Linked DNA regions of Callithrix jacchus. The protein of the gene in region 4 interacts with the protein of the main gene of each other region in a biochemical or structural test. Links are inferred from orthologs where the notes say so. Each region holds a gene or a part of one and is shown on either strand. Other genes may lie near its edges.

What was found.
Region 1: the proteins of GTF2B (region 4) and GTF2F2 form a complex in vitro, tested with the Homo sapiens proteins (2 studies listed by BioGRID and IntAct). The link is inferred for Callithrix jacchus from reciprocal best matches to the Homo sapiens genes GTF2B and GTF2F2.
Region 2: the proteins of GTF2B (region 4) and NR2F1 form a complex in vitro, tested with the Homo sapiens proteins (2 studies listed by BioGRID and IntAct). The link is inferred for Callithrix jacchus from reciprocal best matches to the Homo sapiens genes GTF2B and NR2F1.
Region 3: the proteins of GTF2B (region 4) and GTF2F1 form a complex in vitro, tested with the Homo sapiens proteins (3 studies listed by BioGRID and IntAct). The link is inferred for Callithrix jacchus from reciprocal best matches to the Homo sapiens genes GTF2B and GTF2F1.
Region 5: the proteins of GTF2B (region 4) and GTF2E1 form a complex in vitro, tested with the Homo sapiens proteins (2 studies listed by BioGRID). The link is inferred for Callithrix jacchus from reciprocal best matches to the Homo sapiens genes GTF2B and GTF2E1.

The regions. Positions count from the first base shown.
Region 1 is NC_133506.1:164,481,273-164,486,641, reverse strand, and holds the end of GTF2F2 (general transcription factor IIF subunit 2), read right to left. Parts: intron 1,092-5,369; coding exon 972-1,091; 3' UTR 568-971; downstream 1-567. UniProt on the Homo sapiens protein: TFIIF is a general transcription initiation factor that binds to RNA polymerase II and helps to recruit it to the initiation complex in collaboration with TFIIB.
Region 2 is NC_133503.1:117,071,692-117,077,669, forward strand, and holds the start of NR2F1 (COUP transcription factor 1), read right to left. Parts: upstream 3,591-5,978; 5' UTR 3,123-3,590; coding exon 2,660-3,122; intron 2,435-2,659; exon of another isoform or gene 2,328-2,434; intron 1,013-2,327; exon of another isoform or gene 917-1,012; coding exon of another isoform or gene 904-916; intron 229-903; coding exon 1-228. UniProt on the Homo sapiens protein: Coup (chicken ovalbumin upstream promoter) transcription factor binds to the ovalbumin promoter and, in conjunction with another protein (S300-II) stimulates initiation of transcription. Binds to both direct repeats and palindromes of the 5'-AGGTCA-3' motif.
Region 3 is NC_133523.1:6,030,528-6,036,463, reverse strand, and holds the start of GTF2F1 (general transcription factor IIF subunit 1), read left to right. Parts: upstream 1-2,461; 5' UTR 2,462-2,615; coding exon 2,616-2,627; intron 2,628-2,711; coding exon 2,712-2,758; intron 2,759-3,568; coding exon 3,569-3,641; intron 3,642-5,936. UniProt on the Homo sapiens protein: TFIIF is a general transcription initiation factor that binds to RNA polymerase II and helps to recruit it to the initiation complex in collaboration with TFIIB. It promotes transcription elongation.
Region 4 is NC_133508.1:126,116,673-126,122,825, forward strand, and holds the start of GTF2B (transcription initiation factor IIB), read right to left. Parts: upstream 3,580-6,153; 5' UTR 3,512-3,579; coding exon 3,495-3,511; exon of another isoform or gene 1,712-3,494; coding exon of another isoform or gene 1,698-1,711; intron 1-1,697. UniProt on the Homo sapiens protein: General transcription factor that plays a role in transcription initiation by RNA polymerase II (Pol II). Involved in the pre-initiation complex (PIC) formation and Pol II recruitment at promoter DNA.
Region 5 is NC_133516.1:82,239,764-82,245,595, forward strand, and holds the start of GTF2E1 (general transcription factor IIE subunit 1), read right to left. Parts: upstream 3,627-5,832; 5' UTR 3,576-3,626; intron 1,401-3,575; 5' UTR 1,300-1,400; intron 1-1,299. Other genes in the region: RABL3 (rab-like protein 3), read left to right, coding at 3,863-3,908.

The DNA.
Region 1 (5,369 bases), on a different chromosome or scaffold from region 4:
CTAATTTTCTTTTTTTTTTTTTGAAATGGACTCTCACTCTGTCACCCCGGCTGGAGTGCAATGGCGTAATCTTGGCTCACTGCAACCTCTGCCTCCCAGATTCAAGTGATCCTACTGCCTCAGCCTCCTGAGTAACTGGGATTACAGGAGCCCACCACTATACTTGGCTGGTTTTTGTATTTTTAGCAGGGATGGGGTTTCACCATGCTAGCCAGGCTGGTCTCAAACTCCTGACCTCAGGTGATCTGCCCTCCTCGGCCTCCCAAAGTGCTGGGATTACAGGCATGAGCCAGCCTAATTTCTAATTTTCTTAAAAGCAAATAAAAGAAACATCAACTGACCACGATTCTGCATATTTCTCATTTCAGTATCACTACGGTAAAACAGGCTAATCATGAAAACTGCCATTTCACTACAAGCTTACATGCTCTCCTTTTATTAACACTGAGTACGAACACGAAACACGACCACCTGTTTACAAGAAAAACACCGCGTCGTTCTTTGACAATTTTTAAGTAAGGAACTTTGGCTTTTTATTCCTTCTATGAGTTTCTACAGCTGACTGCCTTTTTCTTTTTTGCTATACAATCCTCCTTGGATCTGCATTACCTCAGCTCCTCAAAGATAACAGGAAGGTTAGAGAGCCCTCATTTAAAAAACATTTCCTAACTGTACATGTTTAAAAGCTAATACTTAAGAAAAACCCTCTTAATCCTCTAACCCCTATTCCCATTGTGAATAATCTGGTTTAATACAAGTGAAGTCTATAAATAAATTTGTTCTTTCTTCTCAAAACAAAACAAAATAAAAGAAACCAGTTAAGAAACTTTACAAGAATTACAGGTTTAAAAAATTTACTGAGAGAAATGAAAGTAGGGTCGTCGCTTCACCCCTGTTAACATACGGTGTTCAAGCGCCTTTTGCTCAGCATACTGCTAGTGGTCTCACTGGCATGCAGGCCGGGAGGCACCTCAGTCACTCTTTTCTTCTCCTTGATAGTGTCTGTACTCTGGCTTCAGCTCCCACGTGTTTTTGTGGATCCCTTTTACATTCTGAACTCCAATTTCTTTTAAGATTTCCTTCAGGTACACCTAAAGCAGAAACAAAAAAACCCTAATAAATGAGATTATAAAGGCAGCAAACAAAACTTAAAATAAGATGCTATGCCAAAGCACGTATGCAAGTCATAAAAACTATGCTCCCAGCTACTCGGGAGGCTGAGGCAGGAGAACTGCTTGAATCTGGGAGGCGGAGGTTGCAGTGAGCCGAGATCGCGCCACTGCACTGCAGCCTGGTGCCTGGAGACAGAGCGAGACTCTATCTCAAAAAAAAAAATGCTCCTAAAAGCTCAGCAAGATTGATCTATAAGTAAACTGCCTTTTGATTCCACATGTGTGATATGATCACTGCACTAACTATATAATCATTTGCATTAAAGGGGATAAAAGTCCTGAATGCCAATGACTTAAAAGCTAAAACAAACACAAAAAACATTAGCTGAAACACATGAAAATATTACTGGTCCTCACTCAGTGTGACACAGTACACCAAGTGTAATCTGCCGTTGAGCTCAGCAGCCTCAAGGACTCAGTTTACAGTCAGATTGAAACCAGCAGTTTCAGGGAGCAACAGCATACATAAAAAATGACTAACATTTCTGAGAATATTCTATCAAGCAGGCATACGACAGGTATTCAGAAACCTCAGTTCTAAGGTGAGTTCTCAAATTTGTTATTAGGCCACTTATTTTTTGTCATTTGTATTTACTGCTATTTGTACTTTAGCCAAGCTTGCCACACAGAGAAGGGAACAAGAAGTGATAATCAGGTTGGGCACGGTGGCTCATGCCTGTGATCCCAGCACTTTGGGAGGCCGAGGTGGGCGGATCACCTGAGGTCAGGAGTTTGAGACCAGCCTGGCCAACATGGTGAAACCCTGTCTCCACTACTAGGGAGGCTGAGGCAGGAGAATCGCTTGAATCCAGGATGCAGAGGGTGCAGTCAGCCAGACTGCACTCCAGCCTGGGCAACAAGAACCAAACTCTATTTCAACAACGACAACAAAGAAGGGATAGTAAGACATCTTCAAAAACTATCGGGGATGCAGCTTTGTGTTTTACTTCTACAAAGAAAAGAATCTGTATGATGGTGTTTTAGGTCCCTAAAAATTCAACAAACATTTACTAAATGATTAATGCAGTCATGGAAATAATGGCTATGTTAAGTGTAATATGAAACTCCACCTTTGCTTGCCAATGCTCAAGGCCAAAAAGCATTCCACAATAAGCTGCCCAATACAAAGTACAGATTTCCTTCTTAGAGAAGGAAGGAAAGTTAATTATTTTGTGTGCGTCTGCTTCAAAGAACCAGCTGCAGTATGGTGATGACTCATCCCATTGATGAAAGATAACTTTTCTTATTGATTGAAACGAGGCATTAATAAGAACAACGGCTGAGAAGCTCTTGCCTGGATATCTCAGGAGTTTTCTTCTCTTCTGCAGTGATGCTAGACGACCTGTATCAGAACCTTGTGGGAAGCCAGTTAAATAAGACACATGTTGGGTCTACCGAATCAAAGTCTTTGGGGCTAGGCCCAGGAACCTGCATTTTAACAAGTGCCTAGGTGACTCATGTGACTACATACTGCATCTGGTTTACGGTTCTTCCAGCTCTGAAACTCTAGGATCTTTGAGTCCTTAGTGTGTTTTCATTCTCAGGGCCTCATCACTGCTGGAGATGAGGTGTCACCAACATAATGTGACACCACTTTACAGTGACTGACATAACGCTCTAGAGTTCACAGTGTCCTTTTGGTCAGGGGTAGACTGTCACCTAGAAAGTACTGGAAGTCAGGGGTAGACTGTCACCTAGAAAGTACTGGAAGTCAGGGGTAGACTGTCACCTAGAAAGTACTGGAAGTCAGGGGTAGACTGTCACCTAGAAACACAAAAGCTGGCTAGTACTGGAACTACACAGAGGTTGAGGTTCATTCAGGATGGCTTAGCTCGCTGTTGGGCAGCCTTCCCATTCCATCAGCCGGCCCCAGCAGGTGGCAGCAATGGACCAAAGGAGCCCTGGGTTCCCCTGAGGCTTGCCTGCCTCCCACACCTGCGGTTGGCTTCACTAGCAGACCCGTGTGAATGAGTAAGCATAAAGGCTTGAAACATCCAGGTAATATAAAATGCAAGTCTGCCACCGGCAACAGCAGTTTTTCAAATTACATTTAAAAAACAGGACACTATTCATAAACGATTTTCTAATTGAGCAGGGTTTACAAATGGAAAATGATCGGTTGGAGACAAATGATTCTCTGTTTAGGTGCCAAGAAGGACATCTTTGTAAAATTCCAAAGAATGTTTTATTGTGAGACTGGCTAAGACGGTGCCGCACAACCAGCCACACACTGTGGATGCACAGGGTCAAAAGCGAAAAGCCACCTCCAGGAGCACTGTGGTAGCCCCACAGAGAAGACCTCTCCTGACTTCAAGTCTCGAGGGCCCATTTATAATCTAGGCCCAGAAAATGAAAAGCCTAAAAAGGGTTAAACACAGAATACTGAGAACGTATTAAGAGTACAAATTCAGTTGCTCTCATGTTCACGCTCATTCTGGTAAACTGGTAGAATATAAGGAATTATTTTTATACAAGAAGGTGTCATTCTTTTTTCCGTGTAACAGTAAAAATGGAATGAGATAATCCTGGTCTGTCAATTTTTCAAGCAACAAAATGCAATCACGGTCACAATCTACTGTGACTAGGGGGTAGGGGACACACAAACTTCCTGATTTGTAGGATGTTCTAAACTGCAATCTAAGACCTTTTTCTTTTTTTTGAGACAGCGTTTTGCTGTTATTGCCCAGGGGGGAGTGCAGTGGTGCGATCTCAGCTCATTGCAACCTCTGCCTCCTGGGTTCCAGGGATTCTCCTGCCTCAGCCTCCCCAGTACCTAGGATTACAGGCATGTGCCACCACACCTGGCTAATTTTTGTATTTTTAGTAGAGACGAGGTTTTACCATGTTGGCCAGGCTGGTCTCAAACTACCGACCTTAGGCAATCCACCCATCTAGCCTCCCAAAGTGCTGGGATTATCGGCCTGAGCCACCACACCCGGCCAAGACCATTTTACTGTAATCAAATAAATAAATTATCTTGGCAGGGAAGCAGGTACAAAGCATTAGCAGAGAAAGCAGTAGTGATGATAGGGAAAAACAAGAAAAAAAATCTCTAAAGGGAAGAAGACATGGACAGCAAACAGAGACAGCATGTCCTTCCTCTGTCTAAAATGTTTCAGTGACTTCCCCCTTTGGCCTGCACATTGAATTCCAAACGCCTTCGCAGGCATCCACTCAGGTCGGCCTTCTTCCCTGGGCCTCATCTTCCAGCACTCCCCCTTACACACACTTCCCATTTCCGTACCTGCTTCTGGGTTTTTCCATATGCTATTTCCCTTCCTTGTAATGTTTATCTCCTTTCCTCATGCTTTAAGACTAGGCTCAAACGTGACTTTCTCTAACAGCCTTACCTCGGATTCACATTTCACACTGCACATTCTTCCATGGTAGCTCTTACTATATTATAATCCGTTATTTACATGCCTTGCTCTTCATCTAACCCACATGCTCCTGTTGCAGTGCCTGTGTGCACGTCACAGAGACTCAGCGTACTCATGCGGAGTGAACAGGGTGTGCTTACGACTAACAAGGCAGCTAAGAGGATGCGGGGTGGTGGAGAATACCACTAAGAAGGTCCATAAAAACAGACCACTCAATTCCAGTTTATTTTTAAAACTCAAGCAGTGACCTAGTTTGAGAAACGAAAGTTTACTGACTTAACTGTTACAACCTGAATCTGAACGGCATTTACTATTAAAATCTGCATTTTAGTGCTAAAATGTTGCTGGTGACAAAGCCAATTGAAGCAGAGGTTTTAAAGGTTCTACCAGGATTGAAAATTATTTGGTAATCTTATTTCTCTTTTTGAAATTCCTGTATCTATATTCATTCAAATATTTACTCCAGCACCGACAATGTGCCGGGTAGAATGATAGACAGTCAGTCTTCTTCCCAGAGTCCATGGTTTAAGATTAGTGCATGGGATGGGGGCCAAGAATAAGGCATATTAGGCCGGACGCGGTGGCTCACACCTGTAATCCCAGCATTTTGGGAGGCGGAGGCGGGTGGATCACCTGAGGTCAGGAGTTTGAGACCAGCTGGCCAACACAGAGAAATCTTGTCTCTACTAAAAATACAAAAATTAGCCGGGCATGGTGGCATGCGCCTGTAGTCCCAGCTATTCAGGAGGCTGAGCCACGATAATCAATTGAACCCGCGAGGCGGAGGTTGCAGTGAGCTGAGATTGCACCACTGCAT
Region 2 (5,978 bases), on a different chromosome or scaffold from region 4:
CGGCGCTGAAGAGCAGGCGCGCGGCCAGCTCGCAGATGTTCTCGATGCCCATAATGTTGTTGGGCTGCATGCACTGGCTGCCGTAGCGCGACGTGGGGTAGGGCTCGGCGCGCAGCAGCAGCGAGATGTAGCCGGACAGGTAGCAGTGGCCGTTGAGGGGGTCCCCGTTGGTGAGTGCGTACTGGCCTGGATTGGGCTGGGTTGGAGGCATTCTTCCTCGCTGAACCGCTGACAAAAAGAAAGAGAGAAAAGAGGCAATGTGCATCCAGGGGGCTTGCGAACATTGCCGCGCCGCAGCGTACCCAACACAATGCAGAAGCTCTTCCCGCAGCCACACGCGCCCTGCGCATCTTCTCTGGCTCGCTCTCACAGTCCACACCGCGAGGAGATCTGGGGTGAGGCCCTCCAGCTCCGTAGCTCGATGTGTCCATCGCCTGAGCCCCTGGCCACCTCAGCCCCGCCGGAACTAGGCCTGACTCCAGGGTCCCCACCCTGGCAAGGCCAAGAAAGTGCCACCCAACCCCTAAGCCACCAAGGAGGAACACTAAGATAAATGAAACCTCAGTCACCCCTTCAGAATTAAAAAAAAAAAAAAAATCAGGGATTAAATAAAAGGCGAAACCGGAGGAAGGTTGTGGTTCTAGGCAAATGCCTAGAGGCCTCCTCATTTGCAAGCAAGGAGCGTTTTGCTGATAAAATGTTTCCATATTCTCTTAAAATGCTATAGAATGATTCTTAAAATAGACACAAGTTGCATATCCTACTAACCACTTACAACTTTTGAGTAGAGAACAAGTATCCTGCACCCCTCCCTTCTCCCCTCCTCCCCGTCGCCTCATACAAAGTTCTCACTATTAAAAGCAACAGAAAATTGAAAATTTTCAAGAAAAAAATTGAACTTACAGTAGCCAAACATTATTGAAAAAAGTGGGAAATATAATTAATGTCTGTCCTGTGCGGTGCCACTGCAACCTGCAGCCAGCTTTTGCCCAGTGAATGCACGAGCTTTCAACTGCAAAAACACTGGATTCATTAACCATCTGAATGCAAAACGTAAGCATGCTTTGAGTTCTTAAAGCTGACCAAAGTTTTTTTTTTTTTTTTTTAATGTGTATGTTTTACTTCAACAGTGCCAGCGTTTTAAATTGCCATGTAAACAAAGACAACTTTAGGAAAAGTTAGGGCTACTGAACTCTCCCCCCAACAAATTAATACAGCTATGTTCATGTACATGTAGCTGTCTTATTTCAGGTTTTGCCCTATTTTCTTAAGTTTGCTTTGATTCTAATTTTAATACAAGTTCCAGTGCAACTTAAGCTCTTGAAACATAATGGCTAGAATACTTTTTTCTAATTATAGTTTTGAACTTGGCAGTTATTTTTCAATTAAGTGAGAGTACAATTTAAAGTTTTTTTTTTTTTTTTTTCCAGATGCCTGCAAAATCTCCCTGGAGCTAGAAATGAAGTAGTCATATTTGCCTGCTCCTTCAGATCTGAAGGAATTCAATTTCTTTTCTTCTGGCATATAAAATATAATTTTAAAGTCAATTACAAGAAAGAGTAATCTGCATTCTGCAAAATTGACTGGTTCTCTAATTTGACTATAAGACATCTTTAATGATTGTCAAGAGATAAACTTTAACTGTAAACGGCAAAATATATTTATAAGAAAAGTACTGCATCTCTTGCCACATGAACATGAAGCAGATCCAAATACAACATCAAAAGTTGTGTTTTTTTTTTAAAAAAAAACACAAACCCATACAACACAGGGATTAAATGATGTGGAAGCTCATGCCAGCTGCAGTCTATGCATTATGGCCAAATCAGAAGGATCGGTAAATGCCGTTGTAAATTGTAATTTGTATGCAGTATTTAAGGAGAGGGTGGAGTTTGATGAAGAAATAAAACGAGTATCATGCTTTAAAAAAAATGACAGAACTATGAAAGCACGGTTCAGTCACAAACTTTCCTTTCAAAGTAGAGGGGTGAAAACAAGGCCACAGCTCTGGAGGAGGCGGCCCCAGCTCCGTGAAGAAGAGAGGGAACCAGTGAACGGGCCAGAAGCCCCCCTTCCCCCCTAATTAGACCTACAAGTGCAATAAATCTCACTCCTCTTTTTCCAAGCTAAGCTTCCAAAAGGATGATGGCAGCAATGAATCTATGGTTCAGGGTACTCCAGCCCCCAGCCCTCCCCCATTTTAAATAAAGGGTATGAAGAGGTGGAGGGAAAAGTGGAATGAAAAAACACAGAAACAGAGTTTTCTGGAGGAAATAAGCACCCCTCCCCAAGTTCATGCCAGCACAGCCCCAAGCAGCCTCACGCACACGCGGGAGACACACATCGAGCACATCCAAGACAGAGGGAAGAAGGGGATTTTAAGCCACAGCTCACGATCCCAGGGACACAATCCTGAGCAGGCAGCGGGCGGGGTGGGGGAGCCGGGGAGAGGAGCGCAGGCCGGGAGGGGGAGGCAGCGGCAGAGAGCTGGGGAGGGGGGGAGACGCCGGGGGAGGAAGGCAGCGGGGAGAAGGGAAGCTGGGACCGGCCGGGACCACACGAGCCCCAGCCCCACACAGCAACCACCCGGGCGAGAAAGAAAGAGCGAGCCAGGGAGGAGAGCGAAGCGCGGGGAGAGAAGCAGAGAAGAAATATTCACCTTCCCGCCTCATGCCCACTTTGAGGCACTTCTTGAGGCGGCAGTATTGGCACTGGTTGCGGTGATGCTGGTCGATGGGACAGTTCCTGTTGGCACGGCATGTGTAAGTTAAGTTCCTGCGGACGCTCCTCTTGAAGAAACTTTTGCAGCCCTCGCAGGTGAATTGGCCGTAGTGCTTGCCGCTCGACTTGTCCCCGCACACCACGCACTCGATGTGCTGCTGGCTCTGGCCCGAACCGGGCGGGCCCTGGCCCTTGTCCCCCGCCGTGCCGGGGGTGGCGGGCGCTCCGGGCTGGCCCGGGGTCTGCGGCGTGTGCGGCGCGCCCGAGCCCGCCTGCTGCTGCTGCTCGCCGGCGCCGCCGCCGCCGCCGCGGGCCGCCTGCGCTGCGGGGTTGGGGCCGCCGGGGTTGCCCCCGGCCACGTCGTCCTGCGGATCTCGCCAGCTGCTAACTACCATTGCCATATCTTTGGGCCCGGGGAGCGCTGGGGGGAGCCGAGCTGCTCGCCGAGGGCCGCGGGGCGCGCGGGCGCGCTGGGAGGGGAAAGGGAAGGGGAAGGGGGGAGGGGGAGGGGGCGGGGGGCCCGCCGGGCGCCCCGGGGTCGCAGGAGCCGAGCCCGAGCCGGGCACCGGCCGCTGCCTCCGCCGCCGCCGCCGCTGCCGCCGCTACTGCCTCGGCCGCCCCGCTGCTGCTGCGCGCCCGCCCGCCCTGCTGGCGTTTTGTTGTGGTTCCTGCTGTTTTCTTTCTCTCTTTTTGCAGCCCCCCCAGGCTCTCAGGCTCCCCCCCCAACACCCCTGCTCCCCTCGCCCGCTCCCCCCGCGCTCCGTTCCTGGGGGGGCCGCGCTCTCCTTCCCCCCCTCCCCACCCCCCGGCGAGCAAGCTCCCTTCTCTCGCTTTTTTCTTCTTCCCCAAGTTGCAAAATCAGAAATGGCACAGGCGGCAGCCGGGAGCGGCGCGGGGCGCAGCGCCGGGGGCGGCGGGCATGGGCCACGGCGCGCGCACACACTCGCCCTCCGCCTCGCCCGCACCCCCGCGCACACACACACTCGCACACACACTCGCTCACCCGCGCCGGGCGCCCGCCCGCCCGCCGGCCGCTCGGGCTACGCGCAGCGCGCGGGCTGAGCCGACATAGAGGAAGCCGGCGAGGGCGGAGGCGGCGGCGGCGGAGGAGGAGGCGGAGGTCGCGGCTGCAGGCGCCGCTGGAGCTGCCGCCGGAGCTGCTGCGGCGAGCGCCGCTGGAGGAGCCGGGGCCCGGGCCGGAGTCCGAGCAGGAGTCGGGGCCGCAGCCGGAGCGCGAGCGGAGGCCGGGGCCGCCCGCGCCGCCGCCGCTGTCCCGGCGGGAGCCCTCGCCGGGCTCAGGAGTGTGGGGAGCGCGGTGAGCCAAGCAGGGCGCTGGGCGAGGCTGCCGGCGGCGATCAGGGCGCGCGGGTGTCGGGGGGCCAGGTCCAGGGCCGGACGCAGCCAGCCATTCAGGAAGGCAGCGCTGGAGAGCGGGAGGCAACCGGCGAGGAAGATCACACACTTTGCTCTTTTTGTTGTACCGGTGGCGCCGGGCTCTCGCTGCCTTCTTCTTTCGGGAGGTGACGGAAGGGGGAGAAAAATACGGGATAATTCACGCCGGCGACGAATTCACAGCGAAATAGAAAAAATAAAAATCAGAAGAAAATAATTGCCAAAAAAAAAAAAAAAAAAAAAGGAAAAAGGAAAAGCGAGAGAGACATCCAAAGTAGGTCGAATAAATAATCCTCTTCTTTTCCTCTTTCTTGCTCCTTCTTCGGCTTCTTCTGCTATAACACACAGAGCTAGTTAAAAAAACCCTGGAGATCGCCCAAAAATGTTCTTTTTTTAGTATTTTAAATAAGTGCTCTTCAGCCGGGAACCAACACCCTCCCTCCAAAAAAAATCATATATGTATAAAATAACGATAAGAAGAATACGAAGGGGGTGCCTCCTCCTCCTCCTCCTTTTTTTTCTTTAAGTTTAGCCCTCTCTCTTCTGCAGGAATGGAGTAAAAGACACAAGGAGGAGGGAGAAAAAGAAAAGAAAGAAGGAGAAGAAGGGGAAAACAACTAGTAAAATATGTAAGAAAAGAGGAAGGAGAGAGAGAAGAGAGGTTCAGAGAAGACAGGAGACAGAGAGAAGAGAGGAGGGAAAGAGAGGGGGGAGAAAGAGAGGAGAGAGGAGAGGGGGGAGAGAGAGAGAGAGAGAGAGAGAGAGAGAGAGAGAGAGAGAGAGAGAGAGAGAGAGAGGAGAGACCCAAAAATTGAATGCGTTTAAACGGGTGGACTCGCAGAGCAATGTTTCCGAAAGGGGGATCTGCGCGAATGTCTGTATATAGTGAACTTTGACACTACTATTGAAACTGACACGTTTCTATGGAGATCGCTGCCTTATATGGAGCTCGTGTCAAGGAGCCAAGAGAAGGGCTGCTGGCAACTGATAATCAAAGGCGACTGACTGGTCAGAGCCCTGAATCGGGGGGGAGAGAAAATGGGAGGCTAAGGTTAGCCAAGCCTCCCGCACGCCATTGGTTGGAGAGCCCCTCCCCCCTCCTCTTTTGCTTTCTTTCTTTTTCCCCCCCCTTCCCTCTTAGCTACCTACAGACTGGGATGGTGTGGGGAGGAGGAGAGAAAGTGAGAGAGGGGGGTGTGTTTCTGACAAGCGCAATTTACATTGAGATCGTCCTGCGCTGCTATTTACTCTGAGACCTGATTAGTATGGGTCGTCTATGGTCACACACACACACACACACACGCACGCACACACCCCAGAGGGGGAAGGGATGACTAGGGGGAGAACGCCTAGCGATGGGTAAAAGAATTAGAAGGAAATTATTTTGATTTCTTTTGAAAAGTTTTAAAAATTAGATTTTATGAGCGTGGAGAGAGTATCATTGAAAATGTTTGGAAAAAATTTTTAATGGGGATGAAACCCCCACCATTTTAATGATTCGTGAAATATGCTGGATTTGGATTGTTTTCTTCTCTCACATATAAGCACAATCCAAGTCTGGATTCTGCTCATTTTCTATCCTTTTAAGAAACAGGTAGGATCTCCCTATATTTTGATCCAAAGTATATCTTGGTTTAAAAGGTTTAATGACGACAAAGCACACTCCTGGAATTTGCAGTTATTGGCACAAATTCGATCGGAGTCAAGGGTTCCTATTTATCCCAAAGATGATTTTAAAAATAAACTTTCCAATCAATCCAATTTTTCCTTCTTCTTCTTCTTTTTTTAAAAAAATCACCTGACTGTTCAAAACTACAAACAACGCTTCAATAATCATTAATAAAACAGTAGTAAGTCTTCGTATT
Region 3 (5,936 bases), on a different chromosome or scaffold from region 4:
GAGACCATCCTGGACAACATGGTGAAACCCCGTCTCTACTAAAAATACAAAAAATTAGCTGGGTACGGTGGCACGTGCCTGTCATCCCAGCTACTCAGGAGGCTGAGGCAGGAGAATTGCCTGAACCCAGGAGGCAGAGGTTGCAGTGAGCCGAGATCCCGCCATTTCACTCCAGCCTGGGTAACAAGAGAGAAACTCCGTCTCAAAAAAAAAAGATACAGACACAGAGATAGAGAAAAGAGAGTTTGGGCCCAGGGGTCCACTGCCAACCAAACATGGAGTCTGGCAGTGGCCCTGAGTGTCCAAACACTCTGACTTTTATTAAGTACAAAGCTGGTGTCAGGGTAGTTAGGGCGTGGCATTGGTGGTCAGTGATAGGGTCAAGTACATCACGTGTCCTATAGATAGGGGCCGAAGGCTTTCCAGTAGCGTAATGCATCAGCACTTTTCCATACTTGTCAAGAAAGAACAAAGACATTAAGATTTATACTCTTTTATTGATCGTATCTTCTAAGAAAAAAGGAACAGGTGCAGAAGCGGAACATGAGAGTGGACATGGAATGTGACCACTGAAGCACAGCGTCACATAGAGACAATTAAGCCCCGGATGTCTGTGGGCCTCCCTGACAGCCGTCAGGCCCACCACAAGAGCTTGGAGGAGCCGAGTTTTCTCCTGACTCCCCAGAGGAAGGAGACATCTTGACCATCTTGAACGTCTCCTTTCCTGGCTGGCTAAACAGCAGGCGCTTTCCCAGCGCCCTCCACCCACCCTTACATGGGCCTGACAGACAGAAAAGCATTAGTAAAAGAACTAAGATCACCTATGAATAACTAAGATCACCTATGAATAACAACTATTGTTATATTCCTTTTTTTTTTTTTTGAGACAGAGTTTCGCTCTTGTTACCCAGGCTGGAGTGCAATGGCGCGATCTTGGCTCACCGCAACCTCCGCCTCCTGGGTTCAGGCAATTCTGCCTCAGCCTCCCGAGTAGCTGGGATTACAGGCACGCGCCACCATGCCCAGCTAATTTTTTGTATTTTTAGTAGAGACGGGGTTTCACCCTGTTGACCAGGATGGTCTCGATCTCTTGACCTCGTGATCCACCCGCCTCGGCCTCCCAAAGTGCTGGGATTACAGGCGTGAGCCACGCGCCCGGCCGGGAATATAAATTAATGACATTTCTGAGGCTTCTGACTCCCCAGAACTTATGGGGTCTACCCCCTACACTAACCCACTACAGGAATTAAAAAGTTTACACCCCAGACTACTTCTGCCTCTCTCACTCCTACATTCCGAGGAGTTGGCAGTTCTTGACATTTAGTGGATGAGGAATAAATGAAACCAGACATGTCTTGTTCCCCTTCCCTCTGCGTAGCCTACAACTCCTATGCATCCCTCAGTGGCCAACTGAAACCTCCCGTCTTCTCTGAGCCCTCAGAGCCCCGCTGTGCTTCTCCTGCTCCTTCCTGGGTTGTAGATTCCCATTTTATGAGTCTCCGCCACGACACTGTAACCCGCAGAGGACAGAGAGCTGGTTTGATATATTCACCTGGCGGAGCCCGGAACCCAGCAGCGTGCTTGAGTATTTCCGAACTAGAGCAATGAATGGTTGTGCTGTGAGCATGCGCAATTGTGTTACTGCCAGGCTTGAGGGGTGTGTGCACGCCTGGAATGGGGTAGGGGAACTTGCACCTCCCTCCCGTCCTCTGCAGCCTCCTTCCCTTCCCCCCAGTAAGCCAGCCAGCCACCCCCACGACGTTACTCTTCTCCGGGGGCCTCAGAGCCCTGCCCATTTGGGGCAGCTTGGACTTGCAGAGACCCATCCCGCCAGCAGCCCTTGGGGTGGTCGCGCCCCGATTCCGGGCAGGCTCTGACCCCTCCTGGCTCGGCTCAACGTCACAAGGGTCCCCGCTCCGGTCATTTTGCGGGAATGACGGGGTCCACCCCTTCTGGGCAGGTAGAGGAAACGAACCCCAAACAGGCCCATAGGGAGCCAAGCGGCAGTTCGACTGGACCCGAGTAGGCCTCAGTTGCTATGGTGACGCGGCCTTCCAAGCCCCAAAGTCCCGAGCGGCATGACGCATGCGCAAAGCGCCTGGGAGCCCGCAAGGAGGACTAGCTTCCTTCTTCCCACCCAGGATGCCCTGCGGTCCTTGGGTGCTGACGTCACGAAGGAGGGCGGTCCCACATTTGATGACCGCACTGTACATAGGAGCATCAGCGACCAAGGCCGGTTATTTGATCTCAGACTCGGCCTTGTTGCGTCTGAAAAGGGGCAGGGGTGGCTCTTTTGAGGTGGCCATAGACGCCGAGGAACATAAGTGACGGCGCATTGAGGTAGCCACAGCCGCTTAGAAGGTTGCCATCGCGACGCGGCCGCTGGAGGGTTTAGCTTCCGGGTTAGGCGGCCGCGGAGGCGTAGACGGAATAACCTGAACGCCTCTTCCGGTTACCCTTTCCCAGTGCCAGAGGCGCCTAGGGTAGGAATCCTCACACGGGGACCGGAACAGAGACCCGACAAGGAACGGCGGCTTCCCCGAGATCGAGGGACGCGCTAGCCAGAGGAGAAGAAAGGAACCCGGGTCGGACCACGGAACCACTGACCATTGCCCATGGCGGCCCTAGTGAGTGTGGATTTGGCGGGGTTCGGGGGTCCCGGCGGCGACCTCGGCGGCACCTTACTCACCGTCCGCTTCCTCTTTCCGCAGGGCCCCAGCAGCCAGAATGTCACTGAATACGTCGTTCGAGTTCCGAAGTAAATCCCCTACCCCATCTCCCACTCCTCTCCACCCCGCAAAAGTGAAAACCTTTACGGTCCTCTTAGCCTGACGTTTCTGGCCCTGTCTGTGGTTCTCCCTCCAGACCGGGGGACTTGGAGGGCAGGGCTGCGATTAAGCTGAGGCTTCTCTGGAGGCAAACACTGCTTTTTGTATGAATGAGTGCATTAATACACAGCACGATTCAGCCTCCTGGCCTAACGTTCGAGAGCATATGATGCCCAGGCTGTCTCGTCCTCTTTCAAAGCGAGCAGGCTGCCTTTCCTTTCCAGGCCTTTGTACATCCCGTTCCCTCTGCCATGAGTGCCTCCCCTCAGCCCCCAAACGGTGACTCTGTTGGGTGAATTCTTGTTGATTCTGCAAAACTCAGCTCCAGTATCATCTTCCTCCAGGAAGCACTCCCTGACTGACCTCCCTCCTCCCCAAGGCTGAGTTCCCAATAATCTCCACATCTTGGGTTTCTCCCAATCTTTGTTCCTCCATTTGTTCTTCGTCTGCACGCAGTTAAGAGGGGATGGGGTCTAGCTTCTCTGGCAGACTGGGATTCCTGCAGTCTTCCGTATCCAGTGTTGACAGGCAAAACAGACTGAATGAACCAGGGTGGGTTTGTTGAGTGACTGAATTAATGATTCAGTGGAATGGAATGCTTGAATTAATGGTTCAGTTGAATGGAACGATCGAATTAATGATTTGATTGAATTAATGATGTGTTCACATTGATTGATTAAATTAATGATTGAATTGAATTGATGTATTGGATTGGCTCTATCTCTTCTAATCCACTCTAGGAATACAACCAAAAAATATAACATCATGGCTTTTAATGCAGCTGATAAAGTCAACTTTGCCACGTGGAATCAGGTAAGTCCCTGGGTCCTGGGGGTCGGGGGCTGGGGTGGTGAGAGAACCTGACCCTGACCTTGGTGGTTGTAATAGTTGCTTAGCTGTCATAGTAACTAAGTCTTAATTTTCTCACTTTTCCCAAGTGGAGATAAGGTAGATGACAAAGAGTTGGGTGCAGTAGTTTGTACCTGTAATCTTAGCACTTGGGAGGCCAAGGCAGGAGGCTTGCCTAAGGCCAGGAGTTCAAGACCAGCCTGGGCAATATAGCAAGACCCTATCTCTACCAAAAATAAAATAATTAGCTGGATGTGGTAGTGTGCATCTGTAGTCCTGCACAGGAGGCTGAGGTAGGAGGATCACTTGACCCCAGGAGTTGAAGGCTGCAGTGAGCTATGATTACACTACTGCACTCCAGCCTGGTGACAGAGTAAGACCTGTCTCAAAAAAAAAAAAAAAAAAAAAAAAAGATGGCAAAGGCCCAGGCCAAGCTCCTGGGTGTCCCTGTAAGTTACGTTTAGTAGGACCACAGGAGGCCATTCCTTAATGGAGAACATTTAGAAGTTGTGCCCACTGATGGCCATTTTTGCCAAGGTTTATCTGGCTGAGGGAGGGGACTGGGCTAGGGCCTTCCCCAGAGCCCCTGCCATCAGAGGCTCTAGAAAGGACTGTGGGAGCCATTAAAGCATCCTCCACGGGGAAGTTGTATTGTGATCTGGCTGCTGTGGGGAGGCAAACTGTGGGTTTGAGGGCGGATAAAGGGAGAACAGGGTGGAAGCAACTGGGCTGACTGGTCTAGGTGAGTCCTGGCCTGGGGATGTGGAGGCCGTGAAGGTGATGAGATGTGGCTGGATTCTAGAGTGTTTTGGAAATGGTACATATGGACCTTGAAGCAAGAGCTTAAGGGTAATTGGGACCTTATTGGCCACATAGGTCATGATTAATGGTTACATTTTAGAGATTTTGGTGTCTTACTGTCAACAAGTTTGGCACAATGAATTTCTTTTTATTTATTTAAATTTATTTTTTTGTGATGGTGTTTCACTTTTGTTGCCCAGGATGGAGTGCAATGGCACGACCTCAGCTCACTGCAACCTTCAACTCCCAGGTTCAAGCCATTCTCTTGCCTTAGTCTCTCATGTAGCTGGGATTACAGGTGCCCACCCCCACTCCCACCTAATTTTTGTATTTTTGGTAGAGATGGGGTTACACCATGTTGGTCAGACTGGTCTCGAACTCCTGACCTCAGGTGATCCACCCACCTTGGCCTCTGAAAGTGCTGGGATTACAGGTGTGAGCCACTGTGCCTGACCTTTTTATTTTCTTTCTTTCTTTTTTTCTTTTTTTTTTTGAGACGGAGTTTTGCTCTTGTTACCCAGGCTGGAGTGCAGCGCGATCTCGGCTCACCGCAACCTCCGCCTCCTGGGTTCAGGCAATTCTCCTGCCTCAGCCTCATGAGTAGCTGGGATTACAGGCACGTGCCACCGTGCCCAGCTAATTTTTTGCATTTTTAGTAGAGACGGGGTTTCACCATGTTGACCAGGATGGTCTCAATCTCTTGACCTCGTGATCCACCCGCCTCGGCCTCCCAAAGTGCTGGGATTACAGGCTTGAGCCACCGCGCCCGGTCGCTTTATTTTCTTTCTTTATTTTTTTGAGATGGAGTCTTGCTCTGTTGCCCAGGCTAGAGTGAAGTGGTGTGATCTGTGCTCACTGCAACCTCTGCCTCCTGGGTTCAAGCAATTCTCCTGCCTCAGCCTCCTGAGTAGCTGGGATTACAAATGTGTGCCACCACACCCAGCTAATTTTTGTATTTTTAGTAGAGACAAGGTTTCACCATGTTGGTTAGGCTGGTCTTGAACTCCTGACCTCATTATCTGTCTGCCTCAGCCTAATAGAGGTAGGGTCTCACTATATTGCCCAGGCTGGTCTTTTTTTAAATGTTTTTTAAAGACAGAGTGTCACTCTGTCACCCATGCTGGTGTACACTGGCATGATCTCAGCTCACTGCAACTTTTGCCTCCCTGCGGTTCAAGCCATTCTGGTGCCAGGCTAGTCTTAAACTCCTGAGCTCAGGTGAGCCTGGGCCTCCCAAAGTGCTGGGATTATAGGCGTGAGCCACAGCACAACGAGTTTTGATAGGCATGCGTTCTGGAGATGTGTAGAAATTCTAGTTACACGATTTTTGAAAAGGAGCCTGGAACCAGATGCCTGCTGTAGATATTAGGGAAGTCTGATCACTTCTAAATTCCTCAGGTCTGGAATTTGGCCTCTGATGGCCTGCTTGAGCACCAGGTGGTCTTTTTTGTTTGTTTG
Region 4 (6,153 bases):
TCACAAGGTCAAGAGATCAAGACCATCCTGGTCAACATGGTGAAACCCTGTATCTACTAAAAATAAAAAAATTAGCTGGGCGTGGTGGTGCACACCTGTAATCCCAGCTACTCAGGAGGCTGAGGCAGGAGAACTGCTTGAACCCAGGAGGCAGAGATTGTGGTGAGCTGAGGTTGCACCATTGCACTCCAGCCTGGGCAACAAGCGAAACTCTGTTTCAAAAAAAAAAAAAAAAAATCATTTGAAATAATACAATAAATGGTTAAGTTATGGATGGACATCAGATAAATCTAAAAGACAAAATCAACTGTTCTTATAGTATGTAAATAGTATTTGTGGTTTGGGCTAAAGTTTCTTATGCTAGCAAATACAATTCAGAATGTTAACTCTCAACTTAGAATGTGATATCTATGGGAAAACTGATAAAATGATCCATATTCTTCCCCAAACTTTTCTAGTCAGCTTAACCAGAATAGGTCTTGAATCTTCTCATGGGAAAACGAGGTGAGTATTACTTCGTGTTTGTGCTTATTCCATAAATTCCTGTTAGGAAGGTATTTTAATAAATTGTGACAAATAAAATTAAAGTTGATATAAATTATGAAAAACTATGTTGAAATAAAGGAAAATGTTAGCAGAGTTAACAGTAATTACAAATTAGTAAAAGAGGAAGCCATGTGAAACACAGTACCTAAGAACTGATAGAATTATCTCTGCACTATTAAAAAGTAGAGAGAAAACTCTGTAGTTTGTGTTAACAATATAGAATCATCTCAAAGATAAGAACAGTAAAGTAGAAAACCTATACAAAACTGAAAAAGTGTGAATTAGCTATACACAATAACATGGATGAACCTCAACATGCTGACAGGTACTAGAGAGCAGAATAAAATGCCATTTATGCCAACTTTAAAGCAGCCAAAACAAATTTATGGTGTTAGAAATCAGGATGTGGTTTTCTCTAAGGAGGAGGAATGACTGAGGAGAGAGACTTTGCTAGTGTCTTAGCTAGTGCTAGCAGTATCTGATTTCCTTACCCGAGTACTAGCTTTATATATGTGCTCACTTTGTAACTGAGCTGCCCACTTTTAAAATCTGTGCCCTAACATCATTAAAAAAAAAAAAAAAAAAAAGGTAAAAGCAAGGTAGTGAAGAGAGTTTAAATTAGGACACTTTTCGGGAGAAGAGCAGTTAGAACTATTTGTGTTTGTTTTTTAAAGCTTAAGTACTAGGAAAACACCAAGAAACTAGTAACTATGATCAGGGGAGACTTAGATGGCTGGGAGCCAAGAAACGAGGGAGACTACTTTTCATGATTTTAGTCTTTCGTGCTTTTGCTTTTGGACGATTTGTATGTTTTACCTATCAAAATAAAAGTATGCTAAATTAGTAAACTTTTAATCCAATTACCCACAATACAAAAGAGGAACCATACAAATCAGGTGGTGGACATAGTAACAGAGAATAGGGAAGGAATAGAGAAACCACCACCACTGACATTAAAATAAGACTACTAAAGTACCAGATAATCCCCAACTCCATTTATAGCTATCATTTATTGGGGATGCACTATATGACGGGTGTTATACATTACTGTCAATCTCCATAACAATCCTGCAAGAAAGGCACTATTTTCCATTTTAAAGATTTTGCTCAGAGAATGATTTGCCGAAGTCATAGTAAGTGGTGGAGCTTACATTTGAATGCACATTTGTACTCTTTGGTGAGGACACCAGCCAGTTTCATAGTCTAGTCAGTAGATCTTCCCGAGGGAAAAACATGCAAAAGGCAGAAATACAACATTTAGGCTAGGCACGGTGTCTCATGCCTGTTATTGCAGCACTTTGGTAGCCCAAGGCCAGAGGACTGCTTGAGCCCAGGAGTTCGAGACCAGCCTGGGCAGCCTAATGAGGCCTTGTCTCTACAAAAATAAAAATTAATAAAATTTTAAAATAAAAAGATGAGCCAGGCACGGTGGTGTGCGCCTATAGTCCCAGCTACTCAGGAGGTTGAGGTGGGAGGATCACTTGAACTGGGGCGGTCACCGCTCCAGTGAGCCATGATTGTACCACTTGCATTTCAGTCCAGGCGAAAGAGCAAGAGACTCCTCCAAAAAATGAAAAGAAAAATACATTTAACACTTTGTTGTCACTGGTAGAAAAACTGGAACTGCAATGACACAAATTGCAGATATCTAGAAAAAATTTCAGACTTAAAAAAAAAAGCCACGATAGAACTTAAGTCGTATTTGAGTGATTTGGGGAAGCTAAAGTTTTCCATTTACCTACAAGGAGGCCTTACCTGACAGAACACCACCCAGATAGAATGAGTATCCAATCAAAGAATCAAAATCAGCAAAGTGTGTCACTGGCTTTAAGGGTTCTCTATCCGAACAGTACATTAGCTAAAGCTGCCTCCCACCCCAAACTCTTTTTTTCTAACCACACACAAAAAAAATATTGGCAGTTACCAGAAAAGGTTTAATTATTCTGTGAAAATGGCTTTCACTATGAAATTAACCAATTCCACAGACGACGGCAGGGTCAGAAAAACAGTGCCAGAGTTCCGGAAGCTGTAGAACTCATTTGATACTTTCAATACAACATTAGTTAATCAGAGGCCAAGTGTGGATAACAGGAAACAGGTATCTTAGACTCTACACTCTAACACTACCCTTGGAAAAGCCAACATTGGCATGACTCAGTTTACACTTATGCAAAAATACTAATATCTACCTCATAGTGGTAATAAGAAATATAATTAGGGTCTGAAAGCATTTTTCAGGTCACAAGATTAAAGGCTGTTTCTGAAGATACTACATGCATTTCCTGTAGATATGAGTACATTGCATTCTTAACTATATACTACAGAACGACCTCCCAGTACGTATAACTAATTTTCTTAGACAAGATTTTCTTCAGAAGTACACAGGCAACGACATTTGTAAACAAACCCTTTAGCAAGCAACTAATCAACTCTCGATGGCTCTAGCTTCCACTTCCCAGGCCTGCTGCGATGGTAACCTGGTTCCATCCGGCTTACCAATGCTGACGTTCCCAACTTCCTAGCTGTCAGACCGATAAGGGTCTAGAACTGTTTCCCGTCCCTTTGAAAAGGAGAAAATTGTGGACCCCTGATTGTTTGGGTCGTAGATGAAAAAACAAGCGTAGGGGGAGAAAAAGAGAAAAGCAGATCGAAATACTCGGAAAAGACACGAGGGCAAGGGCTGGGGACACAGAAGCCCACCAGGACCCACAAAGGGTGGTGCCTACAGAAGACACAGGACGCCGGGGCAATAACGTCGATAGCTGGGTAACCCCTGCGACACCCCGACAGTCCTGCTGTCTGGAAGTGCCTTTGTCCCGGCCGGTCCGCCAGTCCCGCCGCTTCTCTCCCATATCCTTAGGCGCTCAGCCCGATGAGGCTGCCCGGAGACCGCCTAAAAGCCCGAGGCACCGCCCCTTAGTTCGCCGGGCTCGGACAAACACACTAACCGGCTGGTAGACGCCATCTTCACTGCCACTGCGGTGCCCGGAACAAGCCAAAACAGAACCACCGAAAACAGGAAGCGAATGTGGCGGAAAGACGCGCAGAGATGAATCTTTATAGACAACCCACGCAGTCGTAACAGGGCGGGGCTACGGGTCGGGAGAAGGGCCAAGAACAGTCAGAGTCCTATACATCACGTGCTTCACGATTTCTTACGTTCTTATTCTGTTTCTGTAGTTTGCTATGTTGCTAAGAGAGTCAAGGTAAGAAAAGTCTCATGGGAACCCTGCAAAGGGGCTACAACAGAGCTACTCTCAATCTGACAGAGTTAAAACCCTGTCAGAAGAAAACCCTGGCTTCATAGTGATGCCAAAGCCTGCATCCCTAAAAGTCTAACCACCCGTTCCTCTCCCACTTTCTCACCGCTACCACCCACCCCGCGTCATGCGCTCCCATTTGAGCCAGTTCTCTCTCTCTCTCTCTCTTTTTTTTTTTTTAGGCGCCGTTTTAGCTGGCTATTGGAGCTCTAGAGCCAGTTCCTACGTGCCCCAAGGGTGATTCTTTCTAAGGAATTTGGAATAAAAAAAGAATTCACTTAGGTCATCCAGAACAGGTGTCTGTTCAGGCTCTGTCATCAGCAAGCATGCTGTCTTCTTAGGCACGTCCTTTACATAGGTTACTTAGGTTTATCTGGGTTATAGTATCTTGCCTTGCATACCCTTTTAGAATTGGGAGATGAAACAAAACTATGTGAGAGCAATGTGTGTACGACAGGCATGAAGCTATGGGCTATTCTGATCATTTTGTTTTTTCATTGCCTTTGCAAATTTTGCTGATAGCTACGTATAGTAAACTTGGCAGAACATCTAGATACTGTAAAATATCCCTAGATTAATTAGCCAAACTAATGTCAAAAAAGTAATAATACTGCTACTAACAACAATAACACGGTTAGTGGTGGAGGGTGTCCAGGTTCTTGGCGTTTATGAACAAAGAACTAGACAAAACGCACAAAGCAGGGAAAGAATGAAGCAATAAAGGCAGAAATTTATTGAAAACGAAAATACACTCCACAGGGTGGGAGCGAACAGAGTATACAGGCTCAAGAGTCCCATTAGAATGTTTCTGGGGTTTAAATACCCTCTAGCGGTTTCCCATTAAGTTACTTGGTATAGTTTAAATGAAGTAGTGGTGCCACAATCAGTCTGATTGGTTGTGGAAAGCAACCAATGAGAGGCTAAAGTGAAATCACAAAGTTACACTCCTATGCAAACTGCTTGAGCCCAGGAGTTGTGGCAGACAGAAAATTGAAAGTATCTCTGGTTGCAGAAGGGAGAAATTGAAACCCTAGAAAACGGAGGCAGCACTACTGGTTAAATTAACTCCTCCTCCACCTGAAGAGTCTCTTTCAATTTTCCGTCTGCCACATAGAAAAAAGTGTGCGTGTGGTGGGGGGAGTTGCAAAGGAAGTAGCCGCTGGTTCTTTCGTTACTCAGGTGTTGAAAGTTAGGGTTTTCCTTTTGATTTAGTTCTAGGAAATCAGTGTGAATCAGCCTTTGTCTCTGCCTCCAGACCTATTCTGCCTCAACACTTTGCTGAAAAGTATTCTTGAAAATACGGGGATTGGTAGAGAGAGAGAGAGTGCTTGGTGGTTTTCATGGGGAAGAGAACTTAGAAGATAGTGACTGCTTCCTTCATCTGGGGATAAGATTTAAATGTCATCGAGCACTCATTGTTTTCTTGAGAAGGAGGAGATACTAGCTTCCTTAGAAAGGAAAAGGGTTGCTAGAGGCAGGATTTTAGGAACTGAAATGTAGGTGGGAACCGGGGAGCATGATTTCTTTTTTCTTTCCCCAACCCAGTCTTCTATTTTGTAATTCTGTAATTTAAAAAACTTGACTATACTCTTGTGGGTTTTTTTTCCTACCTCCATATTTAGGAAAGTTTGAAAAATGCCAACCCCTTTCACCTGTGTCAAGTTGCAACCAGGAAAGGGCTTGGGAGTGCTGCACCTCAATCCAGTATTGGTTTCATGCTAAAGCATCTTAGCCTGGTAGAAGAGGAGGAATAAAACAACTGCGCATCTCTCGATGACCCAAACTATGGAACCTGCACCTAGTGGATGCATGGTGGGTATTCAGTAATGTTTGTTGAAGTGAGAGACTGAAACCCAAGAAAAGGGAGGCAGCGCTACTGGGTAAATTAACTCCTGCCTCACCTGAAGTTCTCTTATCTGTCATAAACTTGTAAGGATTTTTTTTTTGTATTAAAATAGAGTTATGAGACTTGGATTGGCTCTCCTTGCTCCTCAAGCTTGCAAACAGCCTATTGTGGGAACTTCTGTTCGTGTAAGTTAATGATAAACTCACATATATATACACACATATATATGTATATATATATGTGTGTATATATATTTAGTTCTGCTTTTAGTCAACCCTAACTAATACAGATTTTGGTACAGGAGTGGTTCTAGAGGGACAGAATATTTAGGATGGAGTTCTTTTGTTGGTTTGGGGTTTCTGTAGTTGGATATAATTACACCGAAAAAATGCTAAGGACTCTACTTCTAATAGTGTGGAGAACACTGATAGTCCTTGGTGTGAATTGTTTAGATAGTTACAGAAAATAAATTCATTTGACACTCCTGATTCTCTGCTTGTG
Region 5 (5,832 bases), on a different chromosome or scaffold from region 4:
GGGACTACAGGCATGCAACACCACACCCACATAATTTTGGAATTTTTAGTAAAGACAGGGTTTCACCATCTTGGCCAGGCTCCACAGGATAATTTTTAACAGAGACATCCCATTCAACTATTTCAATGGGGAATCATATTCTGTTGTTAATACTAGTTTCAACTGACCTTTTTATTTGAAATCAGTGGTTATCAACCCTAACAGATTTAATATCCTTTTTATAAGAAATATTTTGATATCCACAGTACCACACTACAAGGAAACTCTACACACCAATCTATAATCAATCTATGCACATATTTTGGGAGGAAAATATAAGGCCCATCTTGCAACATAGGAAAATTAAAAGAAAATATGTACTTTTGGTTATGAATACTCAGGTACGACTATATTCAATAAGATACAGCAAAGTAGCACCTAGATACAAATCTGTGAACCTAGAGCACTTCCTGTTACCCCAGGGCTTAAGGATGCCTGGCAAGTGCCTGGGCTCAACACCAAAGTAGTACCACAGCATACTACTGGACACACTTTTTCTCCTTTTCAGTTTGATCTATACATTGTACTTGAACCCAGTTTTGTTTTTTATTGTTTTACATCTTCAACAGTTGTCAGAACACAACATATGGCTTCAGAAACATTCAACGAAGAATGGCAGAAAAATGTCAACATAACCTGTTTACAGGATTATTTCCTACTATTGTATTCTCCTTACCCGCCCATACATGCCATGCCGCAGATTAAATTCTCAAGCCTGGTTGTAAGGCACAATCATCTAGGGAACATTTTAAGAATACTGACACTGGGCCCTATTCCCAAAGATTTTGTCTCAGGTGACCTGGAGGGGCCAGATTAGGCATCACACAATTTCTTAAAGCTCTTTAGGTGACTCTGCTATGTGAAAGTGCCTACTATATATCCTGCCAATGCCCATCCTGCATGGAGAGGGCCCTGTACCAGTTAATGCTGAGCCTGTTTCCTTTGCCTAAAACACCCTAGGAAGCCATGAGGACTAAAGGGAGTGAGTCAAGGATTCTACAATCCAACAGTTTTGGAGTTTAAATCCCAGTTCCAGCATTTCTTAGCCCCCCCTGACCCCAGAAAATTCTCAGACTCAGTTTCTTCATATATAAAAAGTAAGCAGGTCAGGTGCAGTGGCTAATGCCTGTAACTGCACACCTTGGGAGGCCAAGGTGGGAGGACTGTTTGAGCCCAGAAGTTCAAGACCAGTCCAGGCAACAGAGTAAGACCCCATGTCTCCAAAAATTTAAAAACTTAGACGGGTATGATGCCATGTACCTGTAGTACCAGTTGAGGTAGATCAACTGAGCCAGGAGGTCAAGGCTGCATTGACCCATAATTTTGCCACTGCACTCCAGCCTAGGTGACAGGGCATGACCCTAAAAAAAAAAAAGAGTGATTAACGGTGCCCTGTTCATACAGTTAATGTGTGAACTCAGTGAGATAATTAATGCAAAGTGTTCTACCATCAGGGCTGGCATAAGAGTTCAATGAAGTATTGGTATTTGTAATAAATCCCCTATTTAGAAAAGTGACTCTTATAGCAGCATGAGGAATGGACTCAAGTGAGTGAAGGTGGAGGCACTGTGGAAGTATTGGGGGTATAGTAAGAAAACCTAAACTAAGGAAGAAGGCAAAAAATTGCAAGAAGAGAACAGAATGAATGAGTTATTACAGAAAAAAAGTCAAAAGGACCCAACAAAATATACTGCATACAGAGTATGAGAGTAGGAAAAATCTTAAATAGCTCTGTTTTGAGCCAGCATACCTAGGAAGGGAAAAGTACTGACATGAGTAATAGGTGACACCTGACGAGGAGCAGATTTGGAAGAAATAAGGAAATCACTTTTAGAAGTGTCTCTGAGGAAATACCATAGGATATTCCTCTGAATATTCCCAGCAGGTAGCAGAACAAATGAAAACTAGAGCTCAGGAATGAAATGAAGCTGTGCCGCCTTGTTCAAAATCTCCGCATTCTGAAATCCTCCTTCCTGACCACTGCTTTCTCTCCTCCACCACCTCCCACTCACGCTGAATCTCCTTACTCAATCTCTAGATGTCTTAGGTAAGAGTTCTCAAACTGGCAGCCCCCCACGCATTGTTTCACCCAAAGAACGTTTCAAAAATTTTCTGAATTAGTTGTCAACATTAAAATATTTTAAGAGCTCACATACATTTCAACTTCCAGCTCCTCTTGAAAAATTGAAAATATCTGAGGAAAAATAAAACCCATGTTCCGACATGAAAACAATAAGCTGAAGCCGAATAGCAGCTGGCATTATTAGGGAAGGAGTTTGGCTGGTCTCTGGAGACTTGTGAGTATGGGACCACCCAGGACCTTTGTTTCTTCCTTTGATCTTCACAGTCCATGAGTCATCTCCCAGCCTCACGTCCCTACCCCAGTCCAGACCCTCGTGTATTTTAATCATATAAACATTTAAGGACTACTGTGCATCAACCAGGCACGGAGCTACAGAAACAAAGTTGAAAAGAATGCACCCTCTGCCCTCTGTCTACCCTGTCAGCCTCATATCCAGCCACACTAGCATATTCTCAATTCCATAAGCCACATGTGCTTTCCCTACTTCCCAGGCCTTTGCACATGCTGTTCCTTCTGCCCCTACAGCTAAGCCCAAACTCCCTTCTCTTAATCATCCTTCAAGTCTCAAAAAACATTTCCTCATAGAGGCAGGTCTTCCCAGACTCCCCATAGTAGCATACAAGTATCCCCTTTCACATGTTCCATGGCTCTTTCCCCTTCTTGTACTTTCTCCGTCTCTATACCTAAGACCAGACTTTATCTTGTTCAGCAATTAATTTCCAGCCTCTAGCATAGCCAGACAAGCCCTTCCATAAAACTTTCCATATGTCTCCTAGGCACGTGTTGTTCCAACATGGCTCATTTTGCCAGCTTCCCCGCACTTCATTTCCTCCACACTCTTGCTTCCACAGCAGAATCAGACAGGCTATTTATTGGACACTCTCTTCTTAGATTTAAAATAGTTTTAAGCGGGAGGTGAGTGGATCAAATTCCCGATGTTAAAAGGCTGCGCTGACTGCATAGTGGAGAACAAAACGAGAAAAGAGTGGATGCGGAGAGTATAGTTAGGTTACTTCAGTATACCACTACTCCAGTTCTAGAACAACTTTGATTCTACACATCTAACTGCGGTTTTCTGTTACTATATTTCATGGCACTTTGCACGCCTTCACACACATAGCGGCAGACTACCGCGAAACCTTAGGATCCAACTGCCCTACATGAGACGCGTTCGGTGATGTGCACGCCTCCCCAGTGCGAGACTGCGAGACCCCAAGACCCCAAACTCCCTCAGACTCTCCCAGTTGGGTCCAGGGCCACACTCGAGGCAGCCAAGCCCGGCCTAACCGAGGTCGCACACGGGCCGCTCCGGGTCAACGGTTCTTTAGAGGACCAAGGCAAGAGGGTAACTCATTAGGGGAGGATAATTAAGAGGGTGCGAAAGGAAGGAGAAATCATAAAATGCAATGCCCGGCCAGGGAACTCCGAACAAGGAACAGGGAACAAGGTTTACCAAAGCGAATCCTCGAACACTCCCACTACAGCCGCCCTCAGAGCTTCAACTACCGGCTTAAATGAGCCACGCCCTTGTGCGACAAAGAAAACGCATCTTTTCTGCGACTAGCTTTGGAAAACACCCCGATACCTTTTACCACACCAGCCAATCAGCTCAGTGAAGCCTTCGATCAGGCGAGTCACGCTACTAGCGGCCAATGAAATTGAAGGCTCTGTCCTCCATGCCCAACTCTGATTGGCTTATAATCCCGGAACAGGCGTTAACCCAGAGAAGGCAGTGGCAAGATGGCCTCCCTGGATCGAGTGAAGGTACTGGTGTTGGGAGACTCAGGTGAGAGGCTAAACTCATGTCTGGGACTCCAGACACTTTTGACTTATCCAATAACCCTCCCCTTAACTTTCTTCCCTCAATTTCCTGGCTCTTCGGCACGGGTCTGAAGTCCCTCCCAAGGCCTGAAGACTACACTTCCCAGAGGACTTTGCTCCGTGTGACGACGAGGCAGCGGCGGCGCGCGGGAGGGGGTCGCGGAGCTTGGGCCTTCTGCCTTCGCGGCTTTCCACATCGGTTTCCCAGGCGACACCAACCTAGCGTGTATTTTCAATTTAAAAAAAAAAAAAAAAGGCAGGCATTGTGTATTGCATCCGGTTCTGTGTTAAGGCTACAGAAGTTAGTAGAACAAAAAGTTAGAGATTTTGTTCATTAAGGAAGTCAAACGTTCATTGAGAAACGTGCACTGGCAAGCGCTTGGCATACGCTAACTCATTTAATTCTGAGGTCAGTCCTATTACCCATTTTACAGGTGAGAGTAGTGAGGCAGAGAGATGTAAATGACAGAATCCTTTTGAACACAGAGTCTACATACTTAGACGCTAAACTATAATTATGCAATGAAATACTGGGTAATGGTCCTGTTTTATTGTTAACTGAGCTTTTTATTTCCTTGTTTGGTCTTCATTGAAAACCTATTACTAGAGAAAGTAAAGAGTTTTATTCTGAAGCAGCAAGGATTTAATGCTGAGCCCAGTTTAATCCTAGCGTTAAAATTCTTTTTTCTTTTTATTTTTTTCTTTTATTTATTTTTTTTAATGAGTCCAAAAGTAACCGTTTACTGGTTACTAAAGGACTCTCTTTTTTATTTTTTAATCTCAATGGATGCAACCTGAGGTCGGGAGTTCAAGACCAGCCTGACCAACATGGTAAAACCCCCTCTTAAAAACATAAATGAAAGAAAGAAGGAAGGAAGGAAGGAAGGGAGGAAGGGAGGGAGGGAGGGAGGGAGGGAGGGAGGGAATTCTTTTGACACCTGGGACATTTGAGAACTACAGCTGACGCTGACATCTGCATTTCCAGCTCCCACCTCACTGCCCTTATCTTTTCCTCCATAATTCAAATAATTCAACTCCTTAAGAACTTCAATAAAATGCTAACTTTGCATTTTATGGATGTGCGGTTCTAGAGTTGGCCTAAGAGCGTGTGTTGTGAGCAAAGACATTGTGCTAGATGCTTGGAGGTGGAGAGGCCTAAAAACTACTCTTACAGAAACTAAATAAAATTGTGGCAGGCAAAGATATATTAAGGATGTTTTCACATTGCCCTGAATATTATTTACATTATGAAATATTTTACAGAGAGAATTATTTAATATTCCCCTAAGAAAGTTGCCTTTGAAACTCTATGAACATAACCACAATTTATGTCAACTTCATTTCTTTGTCAGGTAGCTTGAAGTGGTGCCAAAGTTAATTTAATAAAATCACTCAGTTTTACAGATAAAAAAAGTAATGGTGGCCTAAAGGGACTTGGCAAGAGTATTACCAAGTAGAATTTAAGACTGGAATTGAGAACTAACAGACTTCTTCATGATGTGTGAAGTGGGTGTTTTCTGTCCTCTATAATTCCATTTTCTGTTGTATCTAACAATCCCTTCATATTACAAACTGCTGCAACTAGTCAATTTATTTTCTTTCCAACATGCACTGTTTTAGGTTCTGGGGTTATAACTCTGGAATTAATGCATTATATAACAGGGGTAGGATTAGCTGCTACATTAAATGTGGAAAAGTAACCAGGCAATTAGTAAGCTTTCCCACTACCGCCCTTCCCCTTATGGTTTAGTTGTAAAGCAGAAGACACAGCTATGACAGCCAGGAAAGTGATTGATGTTGTCACACATTTGCTAATGTTAAGCTTTATGTGCAAGTTTAGTTACTGTCTTTTAATCTTTTTAAAAGGTAATTTTGTCAGTCTCCTTTTA